Bombyx mori: one gene and its partners. The protein of the gene in region 4 interacts with the protein of the main gene of each other region in a pairwise test. Links are inferred from orthologs where the notes say so. Each region holds a gene or a part of one and is shown on either strand. Other genes may lie near its edges.

Region 1 (8,439 bases), on a different chromosome or scaffold from region 4:
GTTGTGGCCAGAAAGTTCTTGAGTGGTGACCGCGTACCGGAAGACGATCACTCCGGAGATCACCTCGGACGACGTCTCCCACAAGGTCAGCAGCTAGGCAGCGAAACCGCCAGGATGCGAGTCCTGGCGGCCGCTACGCCGCTGGCTCTGTGGGTGGGGTGGTTGCGGAGGACAAGTCTGATTGGGACCCGCTGAGGCTTGTGGGCCTTCCATAATTAGTGGACGTCTAGGGGAGGTTGATTCCCTTATCTCCATCGCCTCAGTCTCCATTGTCTGAGGGGCTGAAGTTAAAGGTTGTGAGCTGGAGTGGGCTGCTACAACGAATGCAGCCTGTGCTCTTAAGGCCTTTTTTTTTTTTTTTTGCTTTTACCGATGCCTGGCAGGTTTGTGATAGTGGGGGCTGGGGCGAATGCGACGCGAGGAATGGGATGAGGAGCCCTCAATGTACGTGGTGGATTGACTTCGGCCATTAGCGTTGCCGCTGTGGCTTCGGCCTCCACGTGCATGGTAGTATGTGGGGGTCGGGGCGGAGGAAGGGAAAACTTTCCCTTCTCCTTAGAGGTTGTTGGGAGTGCGGAAGTGGGAATAGAAGTAGGAGCTGGGGTGTTCCTTGGTTGGAGAACCAGTGGTATCGGAGGGGGAACGGTTAACCCCATCGACTTGACATTCCTACGGTAGATCGCGCACCGTCGGTCGACGGCTGCGTGGTCCTTGCCGCAGTTGGCACACGTAAATGGGCCGTCACTCGGCCTCGGGCAGTTCACTACCACGTGCTCTCCGGCACATCGTATACAGCGGACCGCACGGTGGCAGTTGGTGGAGGCATGACCAAAGGCCTAGCAGCGGTGACACTGCGCAGGCCCTCTTTCAACAAACAAAGAACAATTTGGAAATTACTGATATTATTAACTTAACATCAGCTCTTTCACGAACAAACAAGACAAACAAACAACAATAAGATACATCGGTCACTAAAGATATAAATAAATATGACGGCGTTAACGATATTTCTGTTAAGCACGTGCAATAGGAGTGACTCACACAAGCCAGGTGCGCCGGCCGTGTCGTTCGACTCGTAAACAACAGGTGCAACAGAAGTGACTCATAAATAAGCCAGCTGCGCCGGCCAGTATAAAAAGGCGGTACGTGCCTCGCAATGGACATTCGTTGGACTGCGTTTGCCCGGTGCACTTACTATATCCTTGTTACGTTGTGTGATACAGTGACTGTTGTACGTACTGGTTAAGGTTGGACAAGTGTTAAAGTGAATTGTTAAGATAACATATTGTTGATTAAATCAGGAATCAAAAAGTGACTTCGTTCTACTTGGTGTTCAACAAGATAATGTCTACCCTCAAGCTTATAAATACAATCAATAACTAACGGGTGTCTCAGAATGTTTTTCGTTTTTAGATGTTAAATAAAAAACAATAATATTTATTAAAACTCGTTTTATTTATTGTTAAATTAAAGAACAGTTCTTGAAATTTACTTATGAAAAAAAAAAAAATACAACCGTATGAAAAACCACAAATGCGCACCATTTACTTGTTCGCACTCATTTAACCTGGAGCTAAAATTTACAATCGCTCGTTGGAGCATCGCTCTTGGAATAAGAGTTGATTTCTTCCGTGATTCTTTGCTTCAAAACATTCAGGTTTGGTGGCAATAGATTGTAAACTTTACTTTTTAGGTAGCCCCATAGGAAAAAATCAGCAGGCGTTAAATCAGGGCTCCTCGGTGGCCAGTTGATGTCTCCTCGGCGACTTATCACTATTTTTTTTATTGCTTAGATAGGTGGACGAGCTCACAGCCCACCTGGTGTTCAGTGGTTACAGGAGCCCATGGACATCTACAACGTAAATGCGCCACCCACCTTGAGATATAAGTTCTAAGATGCCAAGTATAGTTACAACGGCTGCCCACCCTTCAAACCGAAACGCATTACTGCTTCACGGTAGAAATAGGAAGGGCGGTGGTACTCTTCCAGGGAATAATCTTGAAGAGCAGCTAATGAGTCATTTGTAATATGAGAATTGGCTCCATCTTGCTGGAAAAAGGTGTTGCGGTTGTAGCCATAATGGTTTTGCATTTCTGTAGCCAAAAAAGTCCGGATCATAATATGTCAGTAACGAGTAATCAATTCAAAAACGAAAAACATTCTGAAACACCCTTTACTAAGTATAAAACGTAAAGTTAAGCTTACAATCTATGGGCTGTCGTCAGTCGGATTACGTAGCTAAATTAAAATGAAACTAGAGGTCCCGCAGTAGTCGAAATTTGACTATAATTAATTGGAATTGTAAGTTTGTACACTATTATGATTGTATTTTATACTTCTATAATCACAAATTTCGCCAAGACTACACTATAAAAAACATTAACAAAGACAAACAATATTAATTTAATCTCAAATTGACAACAGACGTCAAGAACAAAAGTTTGACAATAAATAGTATGCATGCGTGTGTGCGTCAAATACACGGTATGTAGTGGGTGTAATGTTTTCTTTATTGATTTAATGTATCTTTTATGCATTATTTCAAAAAAATATTAGCATTGTGCACTTCTTCTCTATATTCTCTATAAGTGTGGCAAAATTCCATACTCCTCCGTCCGCGCAATTTTCGTAAAAAGGGATACGAAGTTTTTGCTTCGCGTATTTAATATATAGATGTATTGAAATTTAAAAATATTAAAGTAAAAGAGGGTAGATATGGCGGAATTCTGTAATTTGGAAGAAGGAATGTGTTTTATTTCGATTTAAAATAAAACAACGATTCCTATTGGCTATAGATGTGACAAAACAGGTGATGCGATAAGGGATTGTTGTAAAGCTAGGAGCAGACTAATAATTTAAAGTGAATTAATTTTAATTGAAATTTTTATTATTATAATTTATCAGAACTAGGTTAAATTGAGACTACGGGGGTGGTAACTAAACTAACTAAAAACTATTATCTACACTAATCTAAACTAGCTAACTAAGGCACCTACACCCATGTACTCTAGCCTATACCGATCGGACTGCCAGTTCGGGCTTAGAATTCAGCCCCTCCTAACCCCGAAGGGTAGGGGAGGACTGGGAACGGACGCTGGTGGCCAGACTCAGTGACGCTAACGTAACTCAATTTTACTGGTGGTAGGACTTCTTGTGAGTTTACTGGTGGTAGGACCTCTTGTGAGTCCGCGCGGGTGCCACTACCCTGCCTATTTCTGCCGTGCAGCAGTGATGCGTTTCGGTTTGAAGGGCGGGGCAGCCGTTGTAACTATTCTTGAGACCTTAGAACTTATATCTCAAGGTGGGTTGCGCATTTACGTTGTGGATGTCTATGAGCTCCAGTAACCACTTAAGACCAGGTGGGCTGTGAGATCGTCCACCCATCTAAGCAATAAATAAAAAAAATCTCAGAATAAAGTGAGCACGCAGCTTTACAGGTATGAACGGCACCTACCCGCAATTAACAAATGTTAGGATTTGAGAGTGTCGATCTACTCACACGTTCCCGGGTCCCTCGTCTGTGCTGCTGGGAACGTTACCGTGACGGCAGATAGAAACACACTCGCGTAGGATCACTGACCGCACAGCACCCAACACAGCAAGGATATCCTCGACGCACCGGTGTCCCGGGCAAGTCTGTTTGGAAGATTGTATAGCCGTATTATAATACAATTGAGACTTGGAATTCATATCTGAAGGTTAGTGACGGCTTTGCATTATGTCTATGGCTTAGGAAATTACTCTAGCGAGTAAATCGTAATATAGTTCAATATTTTATTTACATGTTTGCTTATTCCCTTTGTGGGCAGACGATCGAGTATTCGGCCCATTTGATGGTGAATGATTACTGTCACTTGTGGATGTCAATAATGACAAACTCTGTTTGAAGATGGTCGTGTCATAGCATTCAGGACACACCGTGCATGGGAGTTGATCCCAAAGCTGGATGGTGCTTCGCAAAAAATATCTGGTATAGCACTACGTATGAACGCGGCGTTTCCAGATAGTAAGGATGAACTCTGCTCCGATCTCAGGAGGTGCATGAAGGGATCAACACGAACAATTTCTCAGAGCCCTCCCATTTACTCATGCACCTCTAGTTCACGTATCAAAATAAAATGGTGTTTTACCATCAATGTTTGACGTAAGAATTAAACAGGGAATTAGGTGAGAAACATTTCGCACTGAACATTGAAACCGTAAACATTATTTACTAAAAATCGTCGAAGCATTAAAAAAAACCTAATTAAGACCTCCGGAGCGAAAACGAAAATTAACTCTCAAAGGGAATTAAATAAATCTTTTGGACCCTAAAAATTAATTCAGACACGAAGCATGCGCCCTTTTCAACGTGTGACCTATTTTCGGGAGTTCTCATACTTATAAAGGCATACTGATTTTTGAGGGCGAAGGTTGAATTAGATTTTCGTGTTAGCTTTTTGTGAATTTTAATTTACGTCTGCGTGAAAGCGACAATCAAATTTTTTAATTGTAACTAGCTGACCTGGCAGACTTCGTAGTGCCTCAATCGATAAATAAAAGACCTAAACTATTGTATAAATTAAACTTAAAACTAACAAAAGAATCCGTCCGACGGGGGACATCAAAGGGGAAACAAAATTGTTATTTTAATTTAATTCCGAGCATTTTCATATTTATCTACCTTTTAAACATTCTCTGGACTTCCACAAATAATTCAAGATCAAAATTAGCCAAATCGGTCCATCCGTTTTCGAGTTTTAGCGAGACTAACGAGCAGCAATTCATTTTTATATATAGAGACTAGCTGACCCGGCAAACATTGTTTTGCCATATATAAGATTTCTAGGGAATTTCTAGTGTAGAAAAAAAAACTAACTTATTGTAAGTGTGTAAGGATGTGGTAAATGAGTGAAAGAGGTATGTAGTGCTGTGAACGAAGAGGGAATATATAATAAAAATAAGAAAACCTCATTCAATCACATAATACCTCATTATAACAAAAAAAAGTCCAAATAAAAAAAAAATGTTAGGGGTGGACAACCCTAATCACTTAAGGGTATGAAAAATAGATAGTAGCCGATTCTCAGGCTTACTGAATATGCATAAAAAATTTCATGAGAATCGGTCAAGCGGTTTCGGAGGAGTATGGGAACGAACATTGTGACACGAGAATTTTATATATTAGATGTTAATTTTCACGCCCCTTTCTCGTTATTTTTTTTCATTTAACAAACAGATGAGTTTCTCTTTCACTGGGCTCAAAATAGTGACCGGATACCTTAACTTCCAAAACGAATTAACTCGCTTTAGAAAGACTAAGAAGAAGACGAAAGACTTAAGACGAATAATTTACCGTCCTGTCTATTTCTGGGTAGGTACCACGGCCCTCTCTTTTTCTGCCGTGAAGCAGTAATGCGTTTCGGTCTGAAGGGTAGGGCAGCCGTTGTAACTATACTGAGATCTTAAAACTTATATCTCAAGGTGGTTGACGCATTTACGTTGTAGATGTCTATGGGCTCCAGTAACCACTTAACACCAGGTGGGCTGTGAGCTCGTCCACCCATCTAAGGAATAAAATAAAATAAAAAAAGACTATCTTTTTCGTTACCTCACTAATGAGGATCGTGATCATATACATATAATTTGTATCCATTCACTTCTGACCCGCGCGAGTTCAATAGATCGCTAAAGAACCTCTCCCGTTGTATCTACAATATTATTACACCATCGCGTGAAGTCAAATTCACCGAATTCTTATCGGCTTATACCCTTTCGAATCTACGTAATATAACTTTTAAAACATATCAAACGATATAATGTAGGGTCAAATACTACAAAAGTTATCTTGTCGGATGCGAAACGCCATCCATCACGGCGCTGCGAAGTAGCTACGAAGTTAATCTCTATTCAGTCTAGCATTCATAACTCATTGATAAGCTCCCAGTTAGAAGCTTTTTGCAGATTTGTGGGTAGGATAAGCTTTCAACTTAAAAGTTTCGCTTGTATTTTAGTTAATTCGTTTATTCATTTGTCTTATATTTAAATTGAACGTATTTTAGTTTGGTTATTTCGAATAAGAACTAGTACCAAGAATATTGTTAGAAACATCCTAAAATTCAAAATAAAACACAAAATATCTCATTTAACCCTACTATTAAGGCAAACCTTTGCATTTAATACCAGTATTATGCCTAACGCTGCCGCAAACCACTCTGGGCTCAGGCTTCCAAAACACATGCCGATTTCATTTATTACTTCTTGCAAAAAGGTTATACTACATAATATATATATTCGTAGTGACACTGCCACACATAACATATGAATCAATAAAAAAAATCTATGCGTATGACGTATTTTCGCTTGAGAAATATTCAGTCGATTTGTCTGATTTTTTGTTTGTCGTGCCGTTATTTTTATTTTTTCATTATTTGGAAATTCTATAAAAATATTTCTTGCAATTATTACTAGTCATAGTTAAAGCCAAGCCTGATTGGGCTTCACTAGTAATCTTCACTTAATTTGGTAAATGCTTAGAAGTTGAAATTGATTATTTTGATTCTTCATGGCCCAATATTTTTTTTAAATACGTGCTTGTATGTTTGCTTCTTTGTGTTGAAGATGACCGTCTCTTGAAACTCTTTGTCATAGTACCATCAAGTGGGTGGTAGGTGGCGAGAGAAAATCTTTAAGAATGATCTAAGAATCGCTTAAGAATGGAATATTTCATACATTTATGTGCTTAAGTTCAACAACGGTCTGCGTTTTTTAAAACAAAAAAACAAAACAAACAAAAAATTGTTTTAAACTAAAATGTGTAAAAAAAAAAAAATCTTAAAACTTTTCATGAAAAAATTATACGAAACGAGGTACTTAGCATTGATGTAAACGAAGTCCAAATTCAAAGTTCCAGCGAAAATTTTGAATATTCAAATTGTTTGTGATTAATTTAAAATAATTTACAGCAATCGCTAAATTTGCTCCAAAAATATTATAGAAATTCGCAATTTATTTAACGTTCTGAATTCAAATAAATAAATATGCATTTATTTTGTGTGACTGAGAAGACTTAGTTTGGCGAACTTTTGTAAGTTCAGCGGTATATTCCGATAATGTAAAACAGTCGTAACCCACCCTTCAAATTACTTTAATTTACTAGTGGTGGTAGGACCTCTTGTGAGTCCGCGCGGGTAGGTACCACCACCCCGCCTATTTCTGCCGTGAAGCAGTAATGCGTTTCGGTTTGAAGGGTAGGGCAGCCGTTGTAACTATACTGAGACCTTAGAACTCATATCTCAAGGTAAGTGGCGGCATTTACGTTGTAGATATCTACGGGCTCCAGTAACCACTTAACATCGGGTGGGCCGTGAGCTCGTCCACATGAAATAAAAAAAGTTGTGGAAAGCACAACAATTAATTTCTAGTTCAGTTAATTTATATTTCGAAGGCAAGTGAGCATACGGCCCGCCATCAAAAATACCAAGGGCGCAGTTAAGTCGCCGCCTGCAACTTTGGACTCTTCAAAGTTCGTTCAAAGATGTCAGATACGGCGATCAGGTATTACCCTCTATGGATATAACAGCAAATAAGCTTTAATACTAAATGACAATTTTTAGCCGATACGATTGGTTGGATTGTGTGATCACTGAATCACGGTGAACCGAATAACTCCTCAAATGTCAAATAGTTCAGTCTGTGATCGGCATCAAACTCTTCCTTGTCTCGACGAGCTTATTCCAATGCGGATAAGGTTCACAATCGTTCATTCGTAAAAATACAGACGCATCGCCCTTAACATGAGGTGGCTGGAAATAGACGCGAAAACGTGTTGTTATTAATGTTGCGTGTAACTGAATGATTTGAATTTTTGCGTGGCTAAAATTAGTTAAGTGACGTCACATAAGTAGTTATATTCCATAGTACTGGCTAATAACTTACAGCAGTGGTTTCCGCTGCTTACGCTGTCAAGAGTCCGTGGTCAACATGAAGTCGATCATTTTACTGTTTAACTGCCCAACCCTTTAAACGCCACATCAAGAAAGGTGCTTCTTAAATAGTCTATAGGTACATAGAACATTCTTGTTATTTACAAAAACTTTCTTAATATTTCTAAAGCAGGCAGCGGCTTGGCTCTGCCCCTGGCCTTGCTGAAGTCCATGGGCGACGGTAACCACTCACCATCAGGTGGGTCGTAAGCTCGACTGACTACAAGGGCAATAAAAAAATATATATCTCAAATGTTGAATGTATGAAAATTTTAATTTCATCTTCGAACAACTTTCTACGTAATGTCACGTAACAACCAACATTTCTCGAACACGTCACGCGATTTTGAACTCTATTGTCATTAGATTATTAACACCTTTGCAAATTATCATAAAAAAACAGGATTCAATGACAGCGGACGTATAAAAGCACTTCTGATATCTAAATGCGCTCTTCGTGTGAGTGAGTTCTCC
Region 2 (8,437 bases), on a different chromosome or scaffold from region 4:
GAAAATTGCGCGGACGGAGGAGTATGAAATTTTCCACACTTATAGAGAATATAGAGAAGAAGTGCACAATGCTAATATTTTTTTAAAATAATGCATAAAAGATACATTAAATCAATAAAGAAAACATTACACACACTACATACCATGTATTTGACGCACACACGCATGCATAATATTTATTGTCAAACTTTTGTTCTTGACGTCTGTTGTCAAATTGAGATTAAATATTGTTTGTCTTTGTTAATATTTTTATAGTGTAGTCTTGGCGAAATTTGTGATTATAGAAGTATAAAATACAATCATAATAGTGTACAAGCTTACAATTCCAATTAATTATAGTCGAATTTCGACTACTGCGGGACCTCTAGTTGTATCGAAATCGCTCTCATAGTGCTACAGCTGAGTGGCAATATGACTTGAGATTGTAGGTTCGAGACAGATTGAGAAGATGATATTTTCAAGTGTACAGAAGAAGTAGATAACAACAATCGCTGGATGATTACGTTCATTGCTCTTCTTCTTCTTTTTTAAGTATGGCAGTTGGCTTTTTGCGATTGTTGCCAGTGCCGAATTTATAAAAATCTTCATAAAATAAATACCATAATTAAGCTATTTATAAATGATTTATAGCGAAATGATTTAAAGTTAAAGTCGTCGTGGCCTAAAGGATAAGACGTCCGATGCATTCGTATGTAGCGATGCACCGAAGTTCGAATCCCGCAGGCGGGTACCAATTTTTCTAATTCTAATGATTGACTTCCACGGTGAAGGAATAACATCGTGTAATAAAAATCAAACCTACAAAATTATAATTTGCGTTATTACTGTTGGTAGGACCTCTTGTGAGTCCGGACGGGTAGGTACCACCACCCTGCCTATTTCTGCCGTGAAGCAGTAACACGTTTCGGTTTGAAGGGTGAAGCAGCCGTTGTAATTACTTAGTCTGGCCATAAATACTGTTACAATTAAAATAAACAAAATATTACATTTGAATTTGGAATCTGTAATTTTTATATGATTGCTCATTGAGTTTTTTCATTTTGGCGCCAATACATTGTACAATATTTTACGATATTAAAATGGAGTGGGGTGATAAAGAGAACCGAATCGCTGTGATTGTATTTCACAAAGTAGGTATGGAGCCAAATGCAATTTTTAAAACTCTCCATACGCTTGATATTAGTAAAATGTTTGTGTACCGGGCTATTAATAGGTGCAATGAGACCTCCTCTGTTTGTGACAGAAAAAGATCTGGCCGTCCATGTAGTGTTCGTACGAAAAAGGTGGGCAAAGCAGTAAGTGAAAAAATTCGAAGAAATCCTGTCCGAAAGCAAAAGATTTTATCTCGGGAGATGAAGATAGCACCTAGAACCATGTCGCGTATTTTAAAAGATGACTTAGGACTTGCAGCCTATAAGAGACGTACTGGTCATTTCTTAACTGATAATTTAAAAGAGAATAGGGTGGTAAAATCGAAATAACTACTGAAGCGGTACGCAAAGGGAGGTCATACAAAAATTTTGATTATGGATGAGAAATTTTTTACAATTGAGCAACATTTTAACAAACAAAATGACCGTATTTATGCTCAAAGCTCTAAGGAAGCTTCCCAATTAGTCGACAGAGTGCAACGTGGGCACTATCCGACTTCAGTGATGGTTTGGTGGGGTATTAGCTATGAAGGAGTGATTGGGCCATACTTTTGCGAAAAAGGTATCAAAACATCGGCACAAGTGTATTAAGATACCATTCTTGAGAAGGTAGTGAAGCCCCTTAACAACACCATGTTCAATAATCAAGAATGTTCCTTCCAGCAAGACTCGGCGCCAGATCATAAAGCTCGGTCCACGCAGTTTTGGTTGGAAACGAACGTTTCGGACTTTATCAGAGCTGAAGACTGGCCGTCGTCTAGTCCCGATCTTAATCCGCTGGATTATGATTTATTGTCAGTTTTAGAGAGAACGGCTTGCTCTAAACGCCTTGATAATTTGGAGTTCCTAAAACAATCCGTACGATTGGCAGTTAAAAATTTTCCCATGGAAAGAGAGCGTGCATCTATTGATAACTGGCCTCAACGTTTAAAGGACTGTTTTGCAGCCAATGGAGACCACTTCGAATAAGCTTTTTATACTTTAAATTGTTTTATATTTATGTATTAAACTAACACACTGTAAAAGTAATAAATGTTATTTGCCATAGATTTTTTTTTTGTTTTCCTTTGTAACAGTATTTATGGCCAGACTAAGTATACTGAGACCTTAGAACTTATATCTCAAGGTGGGTAGCGCATTTACGTTGTAGATGTCTATGGGTTCCAGTAATCACTTAACACCAGGTGGACTGTGAGCTCGTCCACCTATCTAAGCAATAAAAATAAATAAAAGAGTTAATTCATTTGAGACCGCAAGAAATTGTCATGAAATTAAATAAAACAAGATGAGATTTCCATCTTATGTCAAATGAAACGAAATGAGATGGGATGGAATAAAGGCTCAGTACAATGGTGGTTATTTACTGAAACTTGAATGTAATATTTGGAGAAGACCGAGACGCTGCGTCCAATGCCTGTGTTAAATTTTCCCAATAATTTAGATGTCACCATGTATTAGAAAAATTTATAGGTCACCATCATCAAACTTTAAACATAAAAAAAAACGTGTGGCACTCGGGAACTGCCGCGGTAAAGCTATTGCATAGCATTTTTTATCAACTTATGCAATTACAATTAGACAATAATAATTTAATATTAAAACAATAATAAAAATAAGACCACACTATATTAAACATTAATAAAGGCAAAACCTTAACTGTCCCCTTCACACTCAGAAGCTAGACCGCGCGAGAGAGAGATGGGCAGACTTTTCATGATGCGAATGCAGTGTGACGTCACGCCACGCGCTTATTCACAAATACTACACAAGCGCAACGTGTGAATGTGTTGAACGCGAGCTACATGGTAGGCGGAGTGAGGGGTGTTAGATTTTTTTCGTTACGGAATTTCATGATTCGGTCGCCGCGCTCAAGGCCCGCGATAAAAGCTATGCAATAGCTTAAAAACGCTAAATTAACAAAACAAAACAATAACACAATTTCACTCTTCAGGTTCCTGCCAAAAGGTCCTTTCATGCTCACTCGTAGCTTACTGCAGTAGTCTTAACTAAATACACTTAGTGTGACGTATATGCTGCACTCTTCAATTTAAAAAAAAAACAAGTTTTTCGATAATTACTGAACGAGTCCTTAGGTTTTATTATTTAATAACATTTTTAGGGATAATTTAAACATTACTTTTATTTAAAATACCGCACCCTGGTACAATTTTAGAAAACTAAAAATGTCACACCAATAGCTTTGCAACGTAGAAGTTTATATAAAATCCAATAGATGTCGCTAAATTAAAAATCTCTGTTCGTCTTTGAATCATGCACTGAATTAGTGCTACCAGCCTTTGAAATTTCTCTGTCATTTAAAATTTATCGCCATCACAACAACAACAAAAAAGATCATTAGAAATAATAATCACGTTGATATGTTTTTTGTTTGTAATAAAATTTGATATCATCCGTTATCGGTTAACGACCCACTTGTGGAAAGTGGTTACTATCACTCAGAAAAACACAGCTAAACTCTTGCCTTTCACTATTAATATTTGAAACTATGTAAACAAGATCTTTTTATACTTTAAAATCAAATCAAACTTTTGACAAGACTTTTATCATTTAGAAAATAAACAAAAAGGTATGGTTTAAATAAATCATAAAATAAATCTAGTTGAAGTCGTTTATTTTTTTATTTCAATTATTACATATTTTATGATGACCTAAATTAATTTGTTTTGTATCAAATCAAACTTTGCTTTGTAAAACAATAACAATTTGGAAATATTACCTAAATAGGCAATTGTCGTGCATAATAATATTCAGTTAGTTTTTTTTTTCAATATGATCAAAAAACTATCACTGTAATGTACAGAAAATTTGACTTGAATACATAAGCTAGTTGACTAGTTCACACAATAGTGCATACAAATTTTGTAATTTACATGTTTAGTTTCGGAAAATTTTATTAAATGGGCAACCCCGTCCATTCCTGGCTGGGCAAAAACGCGACAGTCCGGTAATGGCTGCCGATGAGGCGGTGTGTTTATGTCGGTGTTCGAAAGCGTGTAGATTGTTTATTTACATGTTCATTCTAACTGATACCAATAGTGTTTTGTGTTGACAGTGTCTTCTTCTTGTAACGAACCACACTAACGTGTATTCAAGTGCATTGTTAAGTTAATGATCAAAAATGACCGGTGGATTGCTCACGTAGAGCGTAAACCGAGAATGCATTTTTAGTGTCGTGGAGTGTTTGTACGTACACATTTATCTGGATAAATGTTCGGCTACAGGGGTAATATGTGCAGCCGGCAGCATTCTCAGGCTTGCCTGAATACATCTTTGTCGATACGACAAGAGATACAGCGGTTTGAAAGTGTACATCCATCGATATACGCGCTTTACGATCTGGTCGAGTTGGTGCCTGATCCACTGCTCGCTCAGCAGATAAGAGATCACGTCGTTGCCATTGAAGGTACGTAGTGTAAATTATGCTTTTTGTTTAGTTGAAAAGAACATCATCGGTTTCTAGGGAGACGATATTGTTGTTTATTTAGATAAGGCATGCTGGATAACCTATATTGTTAGAACAAGTTGTAGAAATTGCAGACGGCCACTAGCATGTTACAAACTGTTGACAAGTTATCAATGATAACAAACTAATGTTGTGTTAACAATTATTAACATTAATAAAACTGTAGGTCGTTAAAAAGTCAACTGTTAGTACGCCAAATCGAATACGGATCTGTTTGTGATGATGCTATTTAAATTTTCGATTTAAGAATATTGTGCACTTAAATAATAAACAAAAATATTAAATTTTAAAGTTAAAAATAAAAATTATTTTAAATGACAATATTAAATTACTCGTACAATCAATTTCAATCGCTTATAATATTTTTTTACTTAATTATCACCATTATATTTTACGAAATGTTTGTAAAATTTAATTGTATATGAAACCTAGATTTGCAAAACAGTTTAATCCATTTATTTTTCGAAAGGTTAGGGTCATTTAAATTATTAATATCAAAGATTTTGAGTGGACACTAGGATGGTTGATAGTCGCGTGAAATTATAAACCGCTTTATGATTTCGCAGTGACCGTTTGCCATCACGAAGCCAAAATGAACACGATCAATACTAGAGATTACATTTTAAAATTGAAATCTGACACGTTGACGTAATGCGGTTATAAATTATTTTGTGCAATAAATTCTAGGTCACAGAATTTTGAATTTCGGTAATGACTGGGATACTGTAACTAGCTGGGATATGTTTTGAAGTCGTGGTGGTCTAAGGATAAGACGCTCGGTTCATTCGTGTTGAGCGATGCAACTGGGTCGGTGTTCATATCCAGGTATAATTTTTTTAAATGGTATTTAACTGACTTTCACTAATGACTTCCACCATTAAGGATTAATATGGTGCAATAAAAAAAACCGTAAACGTGATATTTGCGTAGTTACTGGTGGTAAGGACGTCTTGTAAGTCCGCACGGGTAGGTACCACCACCCTGCCTATTTCTGCTGGAAGCAGTAATGCGTTTCGGTTTGAAGGTTTGGGGGGCAGCCGTTGTATCTATACTGAGACCTTAAAATTCATGTCTCAAGACGGGTGGCGGCTTTTACGTTATTGATGCTTTTGCGCTTCGGTAATCATTTGACACCAAGTGGGTCATCGAGGTAAGCAATAAAAAAAGTTGTCAGCTCGTCCTACTATTTTTGGCGCCAACTAATCGTGCTTACCAATTCTAAGGGCGGCCATTAGCCAGACATTTCGAACTCGTGTATCACGGTGCTCTCCGACAACCTTCTACTTCAATAAGAAAGTCGCATAGATGCAAACCTTATTTATCTACTCCGTGGATGCAAATAACCTTAAAACTAATCGGCTATATACAGAAAGAAGTATGATGCTATTTGGCGTCGTCGGAATCGGGTATAAAATATAAAAAAATGTACAGAAAATATTTTACTCTCCTCTCTTGTAAAGAAATAATTAAATCATTTCCTTTTCAACCTAATACGTTTTGTTTCATTCAGGAAATTTAATTTGTTTTCGTAGATCGAAGAATACCAGAGTTTGGAAGTGGGAAGCATATTTCTGGAATTTTACCATAAACACAGTGTTATAAATAAGAAAAAATATTAAGGCATATCTTGTTTACTTCGAAGGATATGCCAAAGAATTTACATACCTCTGAGTTCACAAGATTTGATCATATTTGTAACCACGACAGTCATTATGCCGTCACTTTGACCAGTCTCGAAATCTTGTGTCTGAATATTGAATGAGCCAATCGAAAGCGCTTCTCAAAGTATATTTACCAGAAGCTTTACCCGAATCATTACAATTCACGCAAAATTCTAATGAAACTAGCTATTAAAAAGTTAAGATTCATTTGCTTTTTTATTTCTCCTCGACCCTGCTTATGAAATAACGGATTTAAATATTTTTTCAGGCGTAAACGGACTCATTAGTTCCCTGAACCCAAAGATATGACAATGTCAATGTCTTGTCGAAGTGTTGAGTACCACTTTGCGTCACCATCGATAAGTCTCAATGGGCATTGATTTAATAATATACATTTTTTAATTTACACAATTTTTTTTTAAATAATAAATTGGAAATATTACCATCATCAGTGGCATTAAAAAATGGAGCCTTTCACGCGAGGAGTGAAGTTGTGTGATTTGTTTTATTTTGTCTATTTAGTGTTTCTTCGGGTTTAAATGTGTAATAACGGTGGTTTATTAACTGTTTAATATCTATGAAAGTGCACAAATGTGGGAAAATGAAACAAAGCCGCTGGACGTAACTTCTTGGGATCCTCCAAAAAGTCCACTGAAAAAATCTTAGTAAATGACCACCGTTTTACTAAGATTATAATTTCATTCCATATCATCTCATTTCATTTAATTTCATCCCAGTTGATTAACGTCTCAAATTAATCATTTTCATTTCATTTCACTCCATTTATAATTTTTCATAAAAATAAGAATATAAATTAAAATAAGACATGACTTAAAGGTCTTAGTTACCAGGTCATAAAATCACTTAAAAAAAATAACTTTACATTCGAGTACACAGAATATATGAAAATGTAGACTAAATTATCTGTTTGAATGAAGCCATTTGAGGACACACAGGTAAAACAGATTAAAATTATTAGTATTTAAAGATTGTTCTTCGTGAATACCTAATTCGTTTTCAGTAATCAGCTAGCCTCTTCCTCGTAATGGTTTTTCAATCAAAAATTCCAAAACAAAATGGTAAATGCCAATTACAAAACACAACGGTAGTTCTCTCACCTTTGAAACCGGAACGCATTGATGCTTCGCCGCGGAAATAGGGTGGGTGGATGTACCTATCTACCTACCCGTGCAGACTCAGATAGCCCTAATACGAGTAATTACGAAAATTGTTTTTTCTAGAAGTCGTTCGTGAACATGGGCTACAATAGGTATTCCATTAGAAATAAATAATAGTTTAAAAAAACTAAAAAAATACGCTTTTATAGAAAATCCCACTAAAAAATAGAAAATAAATCTTAATAAATTTGAATTAAAAATAGTGTAAGAAAACATGATTTTATTGTAAAAAAATAATACGCGTGGGGTGCATCGTATCAGTACTTAGTTATAAATATTCTATGAACAGATATGAGTAGAAGGGTTATTTTGATAATATCCTGAAAAGCACCCCACGCTTTTTTACAATAAAATCATTTTTTCTTACACTATTTTTACACGTCTGAAGCTAATAAAAGCGTATTAAAAACAGTATAGACTTATGGATTTCATTAGAGTAGGTACTAACTCACGACACTTCCTCGACGCCTTCAGCTCTAACACTAGGAGCAGACTTAGGGACCCCGGTAACCCTAAAAAAGTTAGACGTGCAACTTATCCTAAACATCAGCCCGATGAGTTTCTGGCTAGATCTTCTAAGCGGGTCGCGATTCCGATGCGGTAGCAGATTAATTCGCGAAGCAACTGTCCTTGAGTTATTAGGTCTCCTTTGGAGGTGTTGGCTGTTAGCAAATCGCCTCCTGACTGAGCCTTTGCTCACTCACTTGTCCTGATGAAACTGGAAATGCCTCTGGGCCACCAGTAATCCCTCATTCATAAAAAAATAAACAACATGCCATCTGTTTAAGCCAACTAATTGAAATCGACACAATAATATACAGATTACTTATAAGAATTTACAACCGGCGTAATAACAACGCCTGACCATAAACAAATCTATTGATAGAATAGCTGGATGGTTATAGAATAAGAATGATCTTTCCTATACGACCTATATTAGAGGTAAGTACCATGGATCTACAA
Region 3 (8,557 bases), on a different chromosome or scaffold from region 4:
TGGACGAGCTCACAGCCCACCTGGTGTTAAGTGTATATATACACTAACACTACTACTGTAACTATACTTGAGACCTTAGAACTTATCTCAAGGTGGGTGGCGCATTTACGTTGTGGATGTCTATGGGCTCCAGTGACCACTTAACACCAGGTGGGCTGTGAGCTCGTCCACCCACCTAAGCAATAAAAAAAAAACATGCCACTAACATACCACTATACACTAATAAGTGGATGCTTGCGCCAACATACATATAACTTCGAGATGTTTTAATTATCGGTAGGCAGCGGCTTGGCTCTGCCCCTGGCATTGCTGAAGTCCATGGGCGACGGTAACCACTCACCATCAGGTGGGCCGTATGCTCGTCTGCCTACAAGGGCAATAAAAAAAAAAAAAAAATATATTGTCTGTAAATTTTTTGTTCTTTCGAGCATCGCTAATAAGTACAGAACCGATTTCAAATAAGCTTTATAAACGTTATAAATGCTTAATATTAATATTAAAATTAAACTTTCATTATATTTAGTTCGATTGCCGAGGACCGGAGATAGCGACCGAGAATCGTAACTGATCAAAGATTCGAGTGCATTGAGTGCATTATTCTTTTTTTTTGTGTAATTTAGGGCTGTCAGAACAACAGACTGCAGACTATTAAATAAACCAGTGGTCGCCCGGTAGTCGAAATTGGACTATAATTAATTAAAATTATAAGTTTGTACACTATTATGATTCTATTTGCAAAGACTATTAAACTTCTATAATCACAGTTTTCGTCAAGGCAAAAAAATAAATAGTATGCATACGCATGCACACACGCGTGTGCGTCAAATACATGGTAGTGTGAGTAATGTTTTTTTTTATTGATTTAATGTACTTTTTAGGCATAATTTTAAAAAAAAATTAACATTCTGCACTCCTTCTCTATATTCTCTATACGTGTGGGATATTTCATACTCCTCCGTCCGCGCAATTTTCGTAAAAAGGGATACAACGTTTTTCCTTCACGTATTAATATATAGATGACAATATTAAAGTTACGTCAAATTTTCCAGTCTTCAAATGCAAATCAAAAACACGCATTTCCCGGTGGTGAAGCGTCTTTTGAGCCCTCCTGGCTACACTGTCTTTTCTGCCGCGGAGCTGTAATGCATTCCGGCTTGAAGCATACGGACAATTATACCGTTATAAGATCTCATGTTTCAAAATGAGTAGCGGCATTCACGTAGTACTGTCTATGCGCTCCGGTAACCATTTAACACCAGGTGAGCCGTGAAATCGATCACCGATTTTTTTTATTTTTTTTTTAATGCTTAGATATGTGGACGAGCTCACAGCCCACCTGGTGTTAAGTGGTTACTGGAGCCCATAGACATCTACAACGTAAATGCGCCACACACCTTGAGATATAGTTCTAAGGTCTCAGTATAGTCACAACGGCTGCCCCACCCTTCAAACCGAAACGCATTACTGCTTCACGGCAGAAATAGGCGGGGCGGTGGTACCTACCCGTGCGGACTCACAAGAGGTCCTACCACCAGTAAAATTGAGGCAACAGAAAAAAAAAACGCCATCACGCTTGAATTTTACGATGTTTACACAAATGAAAATTAAAATCATTCTTGCGCTCAACCGAAATAAAATCGTACCATTGGCGTATTATGAAAATGCTACTAAAATTGTATAGTTTTCGATTGTGTTGTGTTTTCCTTTTAATAATAATAATCAGTGAATATGCCTTCAGTATTCATTTCACAGATGATTTAATATCGGATTTATATAATGAGTATGTAAACGCTTTGAACATTGGTATGTATAAACGGAAGTTTTTGTCAAACTGCTGACCTGGTTTTAATATTAAATTAATATAAAAAAAAACCTAATAATTTTGGCTCGCAATTGAATGTTTGTCCCAGAATCGAACAGTACTACAGTTTTTTTTTTAACAAACACCAACCCATGAAAATCATGTCAATGATAAACATAAAATATACGCTATAATAGTGCAGATTGATTGCACAATACGCGTGTCATATTTAATTGCAAATGTAGCGAGGTTTGGGGGAGGCCTATGTCCAGCAGGGGATCTCTTTGGGCTGATAGTAAGTAAGTGGAGACCGCGAATTGGCAAACGCAGTACAGGACGCCCTTAGGCACGGTGGAGTGATAATCTGTGCAGGGTGGAAAGAGCTGGATGAGAGAAACCAAGGATCATGCTCAGTGGCGAGCAATTGGAGAAGTCTATGTCCAGCACTGGATTGATATAGGCCGATGATGATGACGAAGTAAGACGCTCGACATTCCTATGATGTACCGGTGATTACTGCTACTCATAAACGATAAAAAGCCAAGTCAAGGCAAGATATTAATAAAATTAAAAGATCTTATTGTTATAAGCGCGGTGTCGAAAGTTCATGCGATTAAGAAATTCAATAGAACAACATCACAGAAGCGATCGACAAAAAACTGTTATAGTAACTCTTTGTTTACCAGTTAAAGAAAGTGACAATGACGCATCTCGACGCCTGTACAAGAACAATAAAGTATACAAAGTACACGTGAAAAAATTGAAAGAGGTTAATGGTTTCAAAAAGCACAATCTTCATATATCGCGTGAAGCTGAAAATAAACCCCTAATATACATAGATAATCCGGTCGAAACGAATATACCACACACCTTTATGGGTATTGACGAATTTAAGAAATTACTCACAGACAGAGCTTTGCGACATTCACCTATGCAAAGTACCAGTAAGCCCAATGTTTATAGATTGAAAAGTCTGGAAACTAAAATAACGGCTATTAATGATACCAAACACATTAAACTAATCAAGAGAAGTGAAGTAAAATCAGAAGTAACAAAAAAGGGAACACAAGCAGATAATACTAAAGAAATATTACGTAAGAATACGATAGTTATAAAAAATGTTGACGCAGCAACCGCTATCAGTATGAATGTGGTACGTCAAGAAGCCGAAATCATTACGCAAGCTCCAACAAAACCGTCAACTATCACCTCGGAGTCAACTGGGAAAACAAAAATTTATGAAGCTGTTGAGACTATAACAAATGATGAAGAAATTTCGAAAGCGCGATCAGCTGCTTCTACTACTGCTTCTACTGATATCAAAGGCTTCGATTTCACAACCGTTTCCAAAATTGCGGAGCATTCTGTAAATTCGACACCAGAAAAAGAAAATATTAGCACAAATAACATCAATTTAACAACGGTGTTTAATAATACAGTTATGCTTGAAGTTACTACAGCGAAACATTTTGATGTTAAATACAATATTACGACTTTGGAATCAACTATAGGAAAATTAAAGTCTGTGAAACGGACGACTACAAATAAACAATATAAAAGTTCCACTAGAAAAAAAACATCAAAGAGAAGTACATTATCGGTAAGTATTTGGTTTAAGGGACGATAAATTTACGCCTATAAAATATTTTAATTAAAAAAAAATTTATATATAGTAAGTATACAATACCGTTTTGATTATGTATATATGTATTCAAGTGTGTGTATCTAGCTTTGTTATTTTTTTTATTTTTACCCATGTAGCCTATAGAATAGCCCCTTACACGCTGATAGCTTAAGAGGTTATTCCAGCTACGTTTGAACATCTAGGTGAGCTCACGGGCTAAAACTGAGAGAGTTTGTTCACACTAGCCTTAACAAGATCAGTGATTCTCGGAATCTACCACCGAATCAGAATTTCTTGTTATTCGAAGCGAGATTTTTATAGCACTGTTTGGCACTTTGCTGTAAAATACTAAGCTCAGATAGGCCGTCTTCGTCATTATGAGCGTTGAAATCACGCCCTTGAATTGGACGGATTTTGAAGGTTTTTCGAAATAACCTAGTTACGGTTGTATTTTTAATGGATAATTTATAGTTTTGTCGAGAAAAAATTCGTAAATGAAGGTAATACCCAAAAGCGTTTTCGCGTAAATCGTTTCCTTACTTGCAGTCGAATAAGTGAGCAGTTTTAACTTAGTTATTCGGACAGACAGACAACCTTAGAGCCCATCTCATAAGCTGTTACCCGAACTGAGAACTTAGACAGCGTGGTTGATGTTGATAAATTCAATGACTATCAATCATTTATAACTACTCTTTATGTCACGACTTTTAGAAAACTAAAAACAAAATTAAAAGACATTAAGCATCCTAAGTACTAATATTTATTCGGCTTAGTTTTCTAACTACTAATTGTATCCGAATTTCTTTTAAATATTATTATTATTGATATAGCAATAAAACTAGTTTAATTCCCACTCACAACCCTGTTCATCTTGACCCTCCCGTGAATAATGGAATATAAAGTAAATCAATATAAATGTAATAAAATAAATCACACAAAACGAATTACGGAATCTACGGAGATTCTCGTATAGTACACTTTTTGGTTTAAATTAATTTGGTATTTTATTTGAAGCCCTAACAGTTAAATGTTCTTGTTTTGTAATTAAAAATTGTAATCTTCAACAATGGATCTACTAACAAAATGCCATAATACTATTTATGATTTTATTTCTTTCAGAGACCACTAGTTTTCATGGGGGGTTATAATTGAATATACAATTGGTTAATAATAAAGCTTGAAAATCTACAATTTTGGTAAATAGTGTTTTATTAAATTTCATATATGTTACTCATACTAAAATAAAATAGATTACTATTAAAGTTGATATGCGGTTTATCGGGTCTGAAGATTTCCGATGTGATTATTTCTTAATTTTGATAATGTAAAATTCTTTATGTCAATATATGTTGCTTAATTTTATAAGAAATCTCAGTACCAACTTTGTAAGCTTCAAGATATTTGATATTTTAAATATATTTGAACACATACCTTAACTTCTACCTAGACAAAAAATCCGAGTTATTGCAACAGCAATAACTAAAGTCTTCTTCAACTGGTCGGCATGAACATCACTTTACTAAACTAATAACGAATTAAGCAAATTATTAAGGCTTTACGATAAATAGTTCTTGTGCCCGTGAAAACTCGTAAAACGATTTTCCCGCCGAACAAAACGTCAAACTGTCAAACGCGCGAACATCGTGCCTCCAGTCCGGTATAAAGGCGCCACTTCACTGATTACAAAATAGAATCTCACGTGGACCTCCGCTGCTACGGTATACCTTATAACTATGAAGGGCCATCGAGACGACTCTATTCACGCTCACCCTGGCGAGAAAGAGATGCCATAAAGTGTCGACACCCATTGTAAGCCGCTTACTGAATTTAGGACTGCTCATTTGTGCGACAGAGACGCCTAGCTTTTTATTGTATAGTCTTAATTCACGCTCCGCCCATTCCTCATTTAACCCCACGGCGGTGGGGGAAACGGCCAGTTTTAAATTATCTATTATAATAAAATTATTTCGCGAAATAAGGGGTTGGTTATGTTAATGATGTGTTTAATTTATGTCTATGTCTTTATCTTAGAAGTGGCTGACGACAGCGTCGAGACGCGTTATTTGCGTATGAAAATTATTTTCCCTGTCACTTTAATAATGTTGATATGTTTGATGAATTATTTTGACTTGGTACTTATTATAATAATTTTAATTAAACATTCGACATAATTTTGTATTTAAGCTTGTATTAAAAATAGAGATCTAAGCCTTGTTGTTGCAATTATAGTTTTGTTTTAGTTTTATTATTATTATTATTTAGCAAGCCGATATTATAAATTAGGTAATATACACCTTACTTTTCTGTATTTTTTTCTTCGGGGCAACCCTGGTAGCGTCGGTAAGGGTGACGTCGATGAAACTCATTACAGATTTAGAGTTTTTTATAATTAAGATCGATTTTTTTAGATGGGCAAATCAACTAATCCATCCAATCTTAAGTGGTTAAGTGGTGTTGATAGGTAGTAGTTGATAGTAAGCTGAACAATATCCCGCCACTCGTCCACTTTGTAGTCGTCGTGGCCTAAAGGACAATACGTCCGGTGCATTCGTATCTAGCGATGCACCGGTGTTCGAATCCCGCAGACGGGTACCAATTTTTCTAATGAAATACGTACTTCACAAATGTTCACGATTGACTTCCAGGGTGAAGGAATAACATCGTGAAATAAAAATCAAACCAGCATAATTAAAATTTGTGTAATTACTGATTGTAAGACCTCTAGTGAATCCGCACGGATAGATACCACCGCCCTGCCTATTTCTGCCGTGAAGCAGTAATGCGTTTCGGTTTGAAGGGTAGGGCAGCCGTTGTAACTATACTGAGACCTTAGAACTTACATCTCAATGTGGTTGGCGCATTTACGTTGTAAAAGTCTTTGGGCTCCAGTAACTACTTAACACCAGGTGGGCTGTGAGCTCGTCGTCAACCTATCAAAAAAGGCAATAAAAAATCTCCATTATAGCTGTGCGTCTAAATCTTACGCGTAGAGGGCAATGCAAGAGAGGTTGCAGCCTTGACCTGGCCAGTCCTCCTTACGCGAGATCTATCGTGCGGCTTAACACTCTTAACCCTGCCCCGCACCATCACGAGCTCGATAGAAAGATCCGTGACACATATCCAGAAAAAGAGGCCAGATAAGAGCCTGCAACGTGCAGGAGAGGCGTTTCATTATTTTCATTCCTCAAGAATAGACTCGTTGTTGCGAAATCAGTCCACGATATCCGGAGTTTTTCTCCAGAATCACATTTCAAGTGGGTCTATTCTGCGTTTTCTACTATCTCCCAGTGTCTAGGTGTCTTTGGAACAAAAAAGAACATATATTTCCAAATTTAAAGAGTATAAATTGCTCGTAAATATCTACTGAAAAAAAAAAGAAAATAGATCAACGAACAATACTAAAAATATCAATTAACTGTTTTGTGTTAAAAAAATCAAAATCTTATAATTTTTCTTAACCAAAAAGAGAAAAGAAACAGCCTGTAGACAGAGGAGATAATAATACTTCATTGTTTAAAAATATAATGTTATGTAGCTGTTTATATAAAGCAAATAAAAATAATAGGTTGGGGAAAAAGTCTTTTCGCATTATAGTATGTATGAACTTGTAATAAAATCTCTTTGGCTATTTGTATCTGGCTGGTTTTGATATCATTAAAAGTTTCAATTTTAAAGAAGATAATTCCTAATTCAAACTAGGAAAATATGTGATTTTTATTATTTTTGCCTCTGGGTCTGCGGAGGGACTTCGGTTCCCTCTGTATTCTGTACCGTATGTTCCATGGGGAGTGCTCTGAGGAATTGTTCGAGATGATACCGGCATCTCGTTTTTACCATCGCACCGCCCGCCACCGGAGTAGAGTTCATCCATACTACCTGGAGCCACTGCGGTCATCCACAGTGCGTTTCCAGAGATCTTTTTTGCCACGTACCATCCGGCTATGGAATGAGCTCCCCTCCACGGTGTTTCCCGAGCGCTATGACATGTCCTTCTTCAAACGAGGCTTGTGGAGAGTATTAAGCGGTAGGCAGCGGCTTGGCTCTGCCCCTGGCATTGCTGAAGTCCATGGGCGACGGTAACCACTCACCATCAGGTGGGCCGTATGCCCGTCTGCCTACAAAGGCAAAAAAAAAAAAGGTGAATCTAATGAAGAAATTCGATACATTTAAAAATTTTACTACAAAAATGGTAAAAAGGCAACGCAAGTCGCTATTATGTACGTATGTGCTAAATTTACTAAATATTACTTAACCTCTATTTAATCATAACAAAAATAATCTATCACTTAGGGAAGACAAAAATAATTTTGCTTTATTATTCTACTTCCGAGTAGCAAATAACTACTCGGAAGTATAATTTCTACATTTGTAAGGTTTATTTTCGATTAGTTTCTAATAAATTGAAACGATACTTCAACTATCAAGGAAATAAAATGCATCAAATTAGTAAAAAAATGTAATACTTTATTATTATTATACTTTATATTTTAAGTTCTCCATTTGAGTAGTTTCCAATTCATTCCTGTAAATTTATGGAAATCCGTCACTATTTGAAATCAATTGGTTATCGGGTACAGCTCTTCCCAGATCTTGAACCTATCTTCGAAGAGGTTTTCATGGACCGAGAAAGTCTTGTCGATGCGAAGGTATTTCCTGTCGTTGGGCTTCATAGCCGGCCAAGACAGACCTGATAACTCAGGATTGTTATCCCGGGGATTCGGATCTCTGAAAAAGAGATATTAAAAAAAACATCAATTTTAATATATTTTTTTGAAATATGTAAAATTTAATCTTATCTTATACCTTTACGAGCAATTCTTGTGTATATATAATCTAAATCTCGGAAACGGCTCCAACGATTTTTATAAAATTTAGTATACAGGGGATTTCGGGGGCGATAAATCGATCTAGCTACGATTTATTTTCAGAAAATGTTGTTTTATTCGTGTTTTCAATAATAAACTCTTCCCGACATCTATTGGCGAATAATAATACTATTTTTCTTAATTCAGGGTAACTAATCAAGATGGCGTTATAAAAAAAAAACCGGTCATCATCTAGTCTATACTAATATATAAATCTACAGTGGTTTTTACGGTTGTTCCGTTATAACTACTGATCCATGCATCCGA
Region 4 (8,588 bases):
CTTCATAGTATAATCCACAACAGTATCCAGTGCTTGTTGGTAGTATGATATAGCCTCCGCTTTATGTCCCAGGGTGGACAGGTTGCTAGCTAATTCCATCAGTAGTGATGTGCGAATGGGTGACTTTTCTGGATATTTGTTCAGTGCTTGTAGAAAACATCCTATACCAGCCTGGAAATTCAGAAGTGTAACAGCCTGGCCACGGGACATTCGCCGATACGAATATTCGCGCGGTGCGAACGGCGAAGCGTCTAGCGACTAAAATAAGAACATAGAAATGTACCTAACAAGCCACGCGCACCGGCGACCGGCGAAGCGACCGGTGGAATGTACCGAACGAATCGCGCGGGCGACTTACGATGTGGCGGGCGAGCAAAACAAATGCATGAATAAGGACGGCGCAAGCCACGGAGTCGAGCGGTAGTCGCGGCGAATAGTGCAGTGATTAAATGAGTTTAGTTGTTTTCGCCGCGAAAAATGAACGCCGAAATTTTTATATTTTATATTTTTTTTAAAAAAATTTTTATATTTTTAAACTCGTCGTGGCCGAACGGATAAGAGTCCGGTGTTGAGCGATGCACCGGTAGTCGAATATCAGGCGGGTACCAATTTTTGTAATGAAATACGTACTCAACAAATTTTAATGTTCACGATTGATTTCCACGGTGAAGGAATAACATCGTGTAATAAAAATGAAACCCTCTAAATTATAATTTGCGTAATTACTGGGGGTAGGAGTGGTAGGACCTCTTGTGAGTCCGCGCGGGTGGGTACCACCACCCTGCCTGTTTCTGCCGTGAAGTAGTAATGCGTTTCGGTTTGAAGGGTGGGGCAGCCGTTGTAACTATACTTGAGACCTTAGAACTTATATCTCAAGGTGGGTGGCGCATTTACGTTGTAGATGTCTATGGGCTTCAGTAACCACTTAACACAAGGTGGACTGTGTGCTCATCCACCCATCTAAGCAATAAAAAAATATATAGCTGAAATACTAGCTAGACCTGCTATTTGGAAGTCTAGCCACCCAAAGTGTTTCTCGTACTTCTTGTGGAATTCTCCATCTATAGGTATACTCTGATTCTTATTCAAATCATGTACTTTACAATCTTTTCCAAATAATAGGTCCTGAACCAAAAAACTATTAATTTGTAAGCAATATCGAGATAATTTCGATATAGACATTTCGCTATCGGACTTCCTTACTAGTCGCGGCAGCGAACGTGAGTACCCGTGGCCTGCAAACGGTGCTGCGCGAATGGTCGCCTCGTCCACCGCTTCGCTGTTCGCACCGTCGATCCCCGTGGCCAGGCCGTAAGAACACAAACACATTAATTTGATCAATTACTTTAAAAATCATGTTTAATATATTATACATATACCTAATGTTTTTTGTATGATTTAGGGTTTTGGCAGACCTCAGTCTCAAATGGTTAAGATTTGGCAGGATTGCTCTATACTACTTTTAATTATGCATGAAAAACCAGAACAAATAGTACTCATTCTTTGAGGGTTGCCTAGGCTTATTATCAATATAAAAGTATTACGTAGATACATCTTCCATTTCAAAAATCAATTTGTTTTTACATAAACTTGTAAATTATGGATAAGATAATCATCACACTCTGCTCTAACCAGAGAAGTGAGATTAATCAAAGGTTTACAATCAACAAATAATCTCTTTCACAACAGTATACTTCATGAACAATGCTGCTAATACTACAATTCATTGCTTAGCTAAAGATACCTATAATATGTATATGATATGCCACAATAGCTATTTATGAAAGGATTCAATTTTAAATCTTAGTTGAAAATGAAGAAAATGTATCTCGCACAGTATTGTTGGCTAAGCAAGAAAATGTTGCTTTAAGATATTTCAATCCAGCATCTTACTTCTAAATTCTCTCTTTCGGGACTGTAGAATTTCATTGACTTCAGTTTCATCTCAGCTTTAATGAATTGTCTGGCTGCAGAGATATAGTGCTCTGCTTCACCAAGGAAATTTCCCACCGAGGCCTCGCATTTCGCAGCGCCCACATAAGAATGCCCTGCAAACGTTGGCTGTTCAGAATGTTCACATTGTATCGCTAGTGCTATAAACTCATTTGTTGCTTCAGAAACATTTGGCTTCCGCATGAAACGCCTGAAAATTCAACGTAATTATATTTCATTTTTGCTTTAGATTGAACGCAAGTTGTAAATATTAGTCATAATATGTTAAAAAGTATGTTAAAAAAATATTTTCATTTTTAGTTTTTTAAAGCTATGAAATACATTATTTACAATAAGAAAAAATATATATTTACTTTTTCATTTTTGTATTGATGTTCATGTATTGTTCTGTGAAACTGGAGTTTAAATCAGTAGACATTGTCGATGTTGTACGTAATAATCAAAATAAATAATTAAAAAAACTGAGGGACTGTTTGTAAATTTGTAACGTTTAACTTTTTTCTGTTTTATTAGTCAATTAGGCAGACGAAGGGAATGTAGTCTATACAGGCATGCTTACTTTATCAAAGGTCAAAGAATGAAACAAAATATTAAATCAAATGGAATTGATGAAAATAAGTTAAGTAGGTAGTGCCTCTCAGGAAACTGGTTAAAATTAATTAAGAGTTCAATTAATGTTTTGGAAGAAGTCGAGAAGCCATGTCCAGCTATTAGTTTAGCTTTCATGATCATGAATATTTTAGTTAATACAATACCTATTCAAGCGTTACCCTTTTAGTTGGTACAATAATGAAATGTCGACGACCAACATTTTAGCCATCGTTTGAGGTTACGACCTCATGTTTCAGTGTGATTGATGACGTTCACGTCGTGATGTCTTTGGGGCCCGGCGAGTACCTAGGTATATACTTACGCAATACAAAACTTAGGAAATTTTGATAAAAATGAATATTTTGAATTTAGTAGGTTTTGAATTTGTCGTAGGAGAATTGTCTATAAGCATCTGGCAGCATTGCACCGGTCACCAACTGTCAAATTCGTTTGAAGGTTTGACGTGTCTTTTATTTATGGAAAGGACTTGAACATAATTTCACGAAAAATAACAAGTGATAAAACATGAGTTCTATTATAATTACTTTCTAGAGGTATAAAGTGTATAGCAACGCACGTAAAAAAAATGGATTTCCTCAAAAGCGGTATTAAGACTGTTCTGGGGTCTCCAGAGGTCGGCACTGCCGCACCGTCTCCAGCTGAAACGGTGATCATTTTATTAATAAGATTTCTAGAATAATAGTCTACTCTCGGGCTATTTATAGATACCAATCAAGTACTGTTCATGTAAACTAGACTTTTATAGCATCAAGCAATTTGAAAGATTTGAGATAAAATATAATTATTAAATTAATTTGTAAATTAATCAAAATCTTATCTCTCATGCACTCACAGACTAATACCACGCCTACGGAGCTACGTTTTGTACTGAACTGATGATCATTCCTTTAAGCCACCATAATTTCATATATTCAGCACTATTCACTATATCTTACTAGATGACATTCCAATCAAATAAATCTGAGGAGGCATTGTTTCCATGACTTGTGGGCAGGCCGTCAGCTATATGTTGTATATGAACACAAAGTATTTATATTCAGCAAATCAAGATCAGTTTTCGTTTTTAACTACCTCTGTAGATGTGTGATTACTACTATAGTTTACTTTATTTTTGGCTCAGAGAACAGTGCCCTTACATTTAGTAAAAACATCGGCTATCGTAATTAATAATGAGCATTTTTTATAATAAGCTTTCTTAATGAGCAGGTTGCAGAGAATTATCTGTCAATCTAAGAGCTACTAGATTTTGCAGAAAATAGTATTGAAATTGATTAAAAATAATAATATAGTGTCTTTGACAATAACCACATGAGGCTAAGCGGCCTGTCTGTGTACGTAGTGCAAAACAGAATAGTAAATGTGAGATTACACTGTAAAAGCTATTTTAATTAAACTGGCAGTAGGACCTCTTGTGAGCAATAAAAAGAGTATTTAAGCAATAAAAAATATATGTTTATGATTTGCAAAAACTGATGACAATACTATATCATGGTACAATTTTTAAAAATGTGATGTGACTTCAGACATTTTCAAGAGGCTGCAAGTTTGCAAATTTGGAATATATATAGCAATATGGAATAAAAACCACAATAAGAATATATTTTTTCTAGAAACCATAATACTTTTAATAGTAGTATACGGACCAAATGAAAAACTGTCTGGCTATTAACCAAAATATAAGACAGCAAAATAGCAAAGTCTCTGTAGGTAGATCAAGTCGTAAAGAATCTTGTTATTGAGGTTCATAACCTTAAAAAATATGCTAATTTTTAGTTTTACTAGTGCTTAGTAAGTATTACTGAATGTACTTATTTTTTTGCCTATAGCATTGTACTATAGCATAAAATATTTAAATATTTAACTAATAATGTTAACTTTAGGAGATTGTGTCTTGAAGCTAAGACTCCCACTCCATCAATTAAAATACAAAATTTGCAGGAAATGATAAGACATTATTTAACAATTGTAATTTTAATTTAACAAATTGTCTACTCATATGTTATTATAACTTGTCAAGCATAAAATTATTATAACTATTTATGCTGTTATCTTGACATGTATATGTACACATGTCAGTCTCTGCTACCCATAGCACAGGGAATCCTAATTTTAGGCAGAATGACCGCGCATGATTTGTTCACGGTTCCCAGTTAAGTAATTCATCAGTAAAGTTGAATTTTGGCAATTTGTATTTGTTTACATAATAATCTTTGGTTTGCTCTTTAAGGATTTACTATAATTTAAAATAGACTAATAGGTTAAGAAACGCAATAATGAAATACACGGCATTGGTGGGACAGGTCGAGCGACTAGTGGAGCGCGTTACGAATTCTACACTGCTTCAAGACCGCAGAGACAGCTGCCGTGCGCTCAAAGCACTCTCGCAGAACTACCGCATTGAAGTCGGTGCCCAGGCCATGGATGCTCTCCGTCAGGTTAGTACTGGTGTGTGGGTCATAAATCTCATTCTTGATTATTATTTAATAGCTACTTAAATTTCCCAGGTACTAGAATTAGACAGAGCAGACAATGAGACGATACACTACGCACTTGACACCCTTAAAAATATTATGTCTCCAACTCTTTTCAAAGTTGAAGAGGACAACCACCAAGTTCCTTGTAACATCGGGGAACAGTTCACTGAAATGTTCATTAAAGATCCACAGAATGTGCAGCTTGTGTTAGATCTTCTTGACGAATACGACTTTCGCGTGCGACTCTCAGCCGTACAGCTACTTACTTTCATGCTCACGAACAGGACCCGTGACATCCAAGAGATCATTCTAGTCAAACCAATGGGAGTATCCAAGATGATAGACCTCCTCGGAGACACCCGGGAAGTCGTAAGAAACGAAACATTGTTGCTTTTAATAAAACTGACAAAGGGCAATGCCAACATACAGAAAATAGTAGCGTTCGAGAATACATTCGACCGATTGTTTGAGATAATTGCGAGCGAAGGACACGCCGAGGGCGGTATCATCGTAGAAGACTGTCTGTTACTGATGTTGAATCTGCTGAAGAACAACAGCAGCAATGTGAACTTCTTCAAAGAGGGTAGCTACGTGCAGCGTCTGCTACCACTGCTGGCGACGCGCGACGACGAGGCCGAGGAGGCCGGGTGGGCGGCGCAGCGCGTGGCCAACGTGCAGGTCACGCTGCTGGTGGTGCGCGCTCTGGTGGGCGGGCAGGGCGCGGGCGCGGGCGGCTGTCGACGCGCGGTGCGGGCGGGCGGCGTGCTGGCGGCGCTGTGCGGCGTGCTCATGTCGAGCGGAGTGCCGGCCGCCGTGCTTGCCGACACCATCCTGGCGGTGGCCGACGCGGTGCGCGCCGAGCCCGAGTCGCAGGACTACCTCGCGCAGGTCACCGCGCCCTCCGACCCGCCTCGACCCACTCTTCTCGTCCTGCTCATGTGTATGCTCAACGAGAAACAGCCATTCCAACTTAGGTAAAGTTTTATAAACAATACACTTATCTTCAGTCAGACACTTGTTAGAGTGGTCGTGGTTGCGCTGACGATGTATATGCAGAAGCATCCATTAGGTCGCCCATGCTCTCGAGGACCGCCGTCCAAGCAATGCAGTTATAAACATTAATCAATAAATAAACAAACTTCTTCATGTGCTCAGGTAAAGTTGTTCCCAGTGAAAATGGTGCTAAAGCTTATGAACTCGCACACACGTTATCTACGCATATTTCTTTATGTGTAAATTTTATATGTATGTACGCTAAAATACGTCAGATGAAGCATTTCAAATATATAAAAAAATGGAGCCTAATAGTAATAATATTTGACGGGCAGATGTGCGGTGCTGTACTGTTTCGAGTGCTTCCTGTACCGGAACGAGAGCCAGCAGGCGGCGCTGGTGTCGACGCTGCTGCCGACGGCGGGCGAGGCGGCGCGGCTCACGGCCGGGCAGCTGCTGTGCGGCGGGCTGTTCTCGCGCGACGCCGCCGCCAACTGGTTCGCGGCCGTGGCGCTGTCCCACGCGCTGCGGGACAACCCCGAGCAGAAGCGGCGGCTGCTGCGCGTGGTGGTGGCGGCGGCGGGCGGCGGCGCCCCCGAGTCGCTGGTGTCGCAGTGCGGGCGCCTGCTGCAGCGCGCGGCGGACGCGCGGGCGCAGGTGGCGCTGCTCATGCTGCTGTCGCACTGGGCGGCGGGCTGCCCGGCCGCGGCCGCCGCGCTGCTGGGGGGCGGGGGCGCCGTGGGCTGGGCGGTGTCGCAGGCCGCCGACACGGACGACCCGCTGCTCTCGGGGCTAGCTGCCTTCCTGCTGGCGCTGCTCTACCACTACAATGATGACTCCGTACCCGAATACACCAAGGTCTCTTTTTTTCATTTACAGATTTAAAACTTGCCATGCATGCCTTGCATGACTGTTTACCTGTGTGTAACAATGGTGTTCAATCCGAACCCAGCGCCCTCGTGGCAGCCTAGGCACTGTCAAATCGCGACCCGTGTTGCCGGGGTAAAAACTCAAATAGATTCAGATAGATTGGTTTTGAACAAGTAGGTTGAAACTTGGGATCGTTAATCAGGATGCGCGACTTGCCGTGCCTTTCTTTTTTTATTCCTACCTAAGCTGATAGCCTTGAGAGGCTATTTCAGCGTAACCTTAACCAGTAGGTGAGCTTACGGGGCTCAAACCTGACGACGTTGCTAACACGAACCCTAGCAAGAGCCGTGCTTCGCAGAATCTACCACCGGATCGGAAAGCGACCCACCGAGAAGATCCGGCGAGAAACTCAGTGGGATGTGTCCTGTGTACTCCTTAGTCATTCCATTTAGCCTTTCGTCGCCAGCGACGGATTCGACGAGAGCGATGACCGGTGCTTGAGCCGTGTCTGTAGTACAAGTGTGACGTGCGCGGTTGCAGGAGGCGCTGAAGCAGGTGATCGTGAAGCGCATCGGTCTGGAGGCGTTCGTGTCGCGGCTGTCGAGCGTGTCGCGGCTGGAGCCCTACAGCGCCGCCTCCAAGCAGCCGCAGCCCGTCGTGGCGCAGCCGCACCTGCTCTCGCTCGACTACGAGTTCTGCAACTTGTACCGGGAACACGAGAGTCAGTATCCGCACTAACATCCTACTACATTTGTATTGGTGGTAGGACCTCGTGTGAGTCCGCGCGGGTAGGTACCACCACCCTACCTATCTCTGCCGTGAAGCAGTAATGTGTTTCAGTTTGAAGGATGAGGCATCCGTTGTAACTATACTGAGACCTTAGAACTTATATCTCAAGGTGGATGGCGCATTTTCATTGTACATGTCTATGGGCTCCAGTAACCACTTAACACCAGGTGGGCTGTGAGCTCGTTCACCCATATAAGCAATAAAAAAAAAACTAAATTCTATTTTATTGGAATTAGGCAGTATTTCAATAAAACTCTAATCAGATTTATTATAAAGGACACAATGAATTATATTAGCTCTCAAGTCACATCAGTCTACTTTTTTTTTGGAGTTTACTCCTTAAGAATCGATTTACATATATAGGCCCGGGGTATGAAAATTATGGGGACCAAAATCGTACTAGAGAGTATAGCATGTCACACGAAATGCGTTATGCGCCTGATTGGCCATGGTGATGCGTGCGCGCGCCAATCAGGAGCCAACGCGCGGCCGCGTTATCGCAGGTGACGCCGGGCTGCTGCGCCGGCAGTCCGCCACAAAGCCTCGTACTGATCGCGCGTTTCTCTCATTATTGTATTTTCATATATTTGTTAGTCGTTTGTTTTGTGTCTCGTTAATTTGTTAATAATCTGTAGTGTATCGTGTTGTCGTAATATAGAACTATTTCTCGTATTGTTTCGTTTAATTTACCGACATCGTTTTGCTTGTGGCCGGACGCCGTTCGGGTTCGATTCCTGAACGTATCAACTGTTAGTGGGTTGATACCCGAATATAACCCGCTACAAATCATTTATTAATAAAGCTTTTTTAATAAATGCATATTTTACTGTATTCAACTGACACAAATTTATATTTATATCCAGTAAACTCCAGTCGTGCGTCGGAGCGGACACACAC

Evidence for each region.
Region 1: the proteins of general vesicular transport factor p115 (region 4) and RING finger protein nhl-1 interact in a two-hybrid assay, tested with the Caenorhabditis elegans proteins (2 studies listed by BioGRID). The link is inferred for Bombyx mori from reciprocal best matches to the Caenorhabditis elegans genes uso-1 and nhl-1.
Region 2: the proteins of general vesicular transport factor p115 (region 4) and centaurin-gamma-1A interact in a two-hybrid assay, tested with the Caenorhabditis elegans proteins (2 studies listed by BioGRID). The link is inferred for Bombyx mori from reciprocal best matches to the Caenorhabditis elegans genes uso-1 and cnt-2.
Region 3: the proteins of general vesicular transport factor p115 (region 4) and paired box protein Pax-6 interact in a two-hybrid assay, tested with the Caenorhabditis elegans proteins (2 studies listed by BioGRID). The link is inferred for Bombyx mori from reciprocal best matches to the Caenorhabditis elegans genes uso-1 and vab-3.

The regions. Positions count from the first base shown.
Region 1 is NC_085114.1:2,555,772-2,564,210, forward strand, and holds the start of RING finger protein nhl-1, read left to right. Parts: upstream 1-3,470; 5' UTR 3,471-3,699; intron 3,700-8,380; exon of another isoform or gene 8,381-8,439.
Region 2 is NC_085115.1:14,999,453-15,007,889, reverse strand, and holds the start of centaurin-gamma-1A, read left to right. Parts: upstream 1-4,099; 5' UTR 4,100-4,379; coding exon 4,380-4,575; intron 4,576-8,437.
Region 3 is NC_085120.1:4,527,400-4,535,956, reverse strand, and holds the start of paired box protein Pax-6, read right to left. Parts: upstream 5,248-8,557; 5' UTR 4,857-5,247; intron 1-4,856.
Region 4 is NC_085109.1:1,632,924-1,641,511, forward strand, and holds the start of general vesicular transport factor p115, read left to right. Parts: upstream 1-2,971; 5' UTR 2,972-3,130; coding exon 3,131-3,211; intron 3,212-4,865; coding exon 4,866-5,000; intron 5,001-5,069; coding exon 5,070-6,013; intron 6,014-6,367; coding exon 6,368-6,890; intron 6,891-7,442; coding exon 7,443-7,623; intron 7,624-8,588. Other genes in the region: uncharacterized protein LOC101741560, read right to left, coding at 1-171, 1,894-2,143, 2,307-2,371.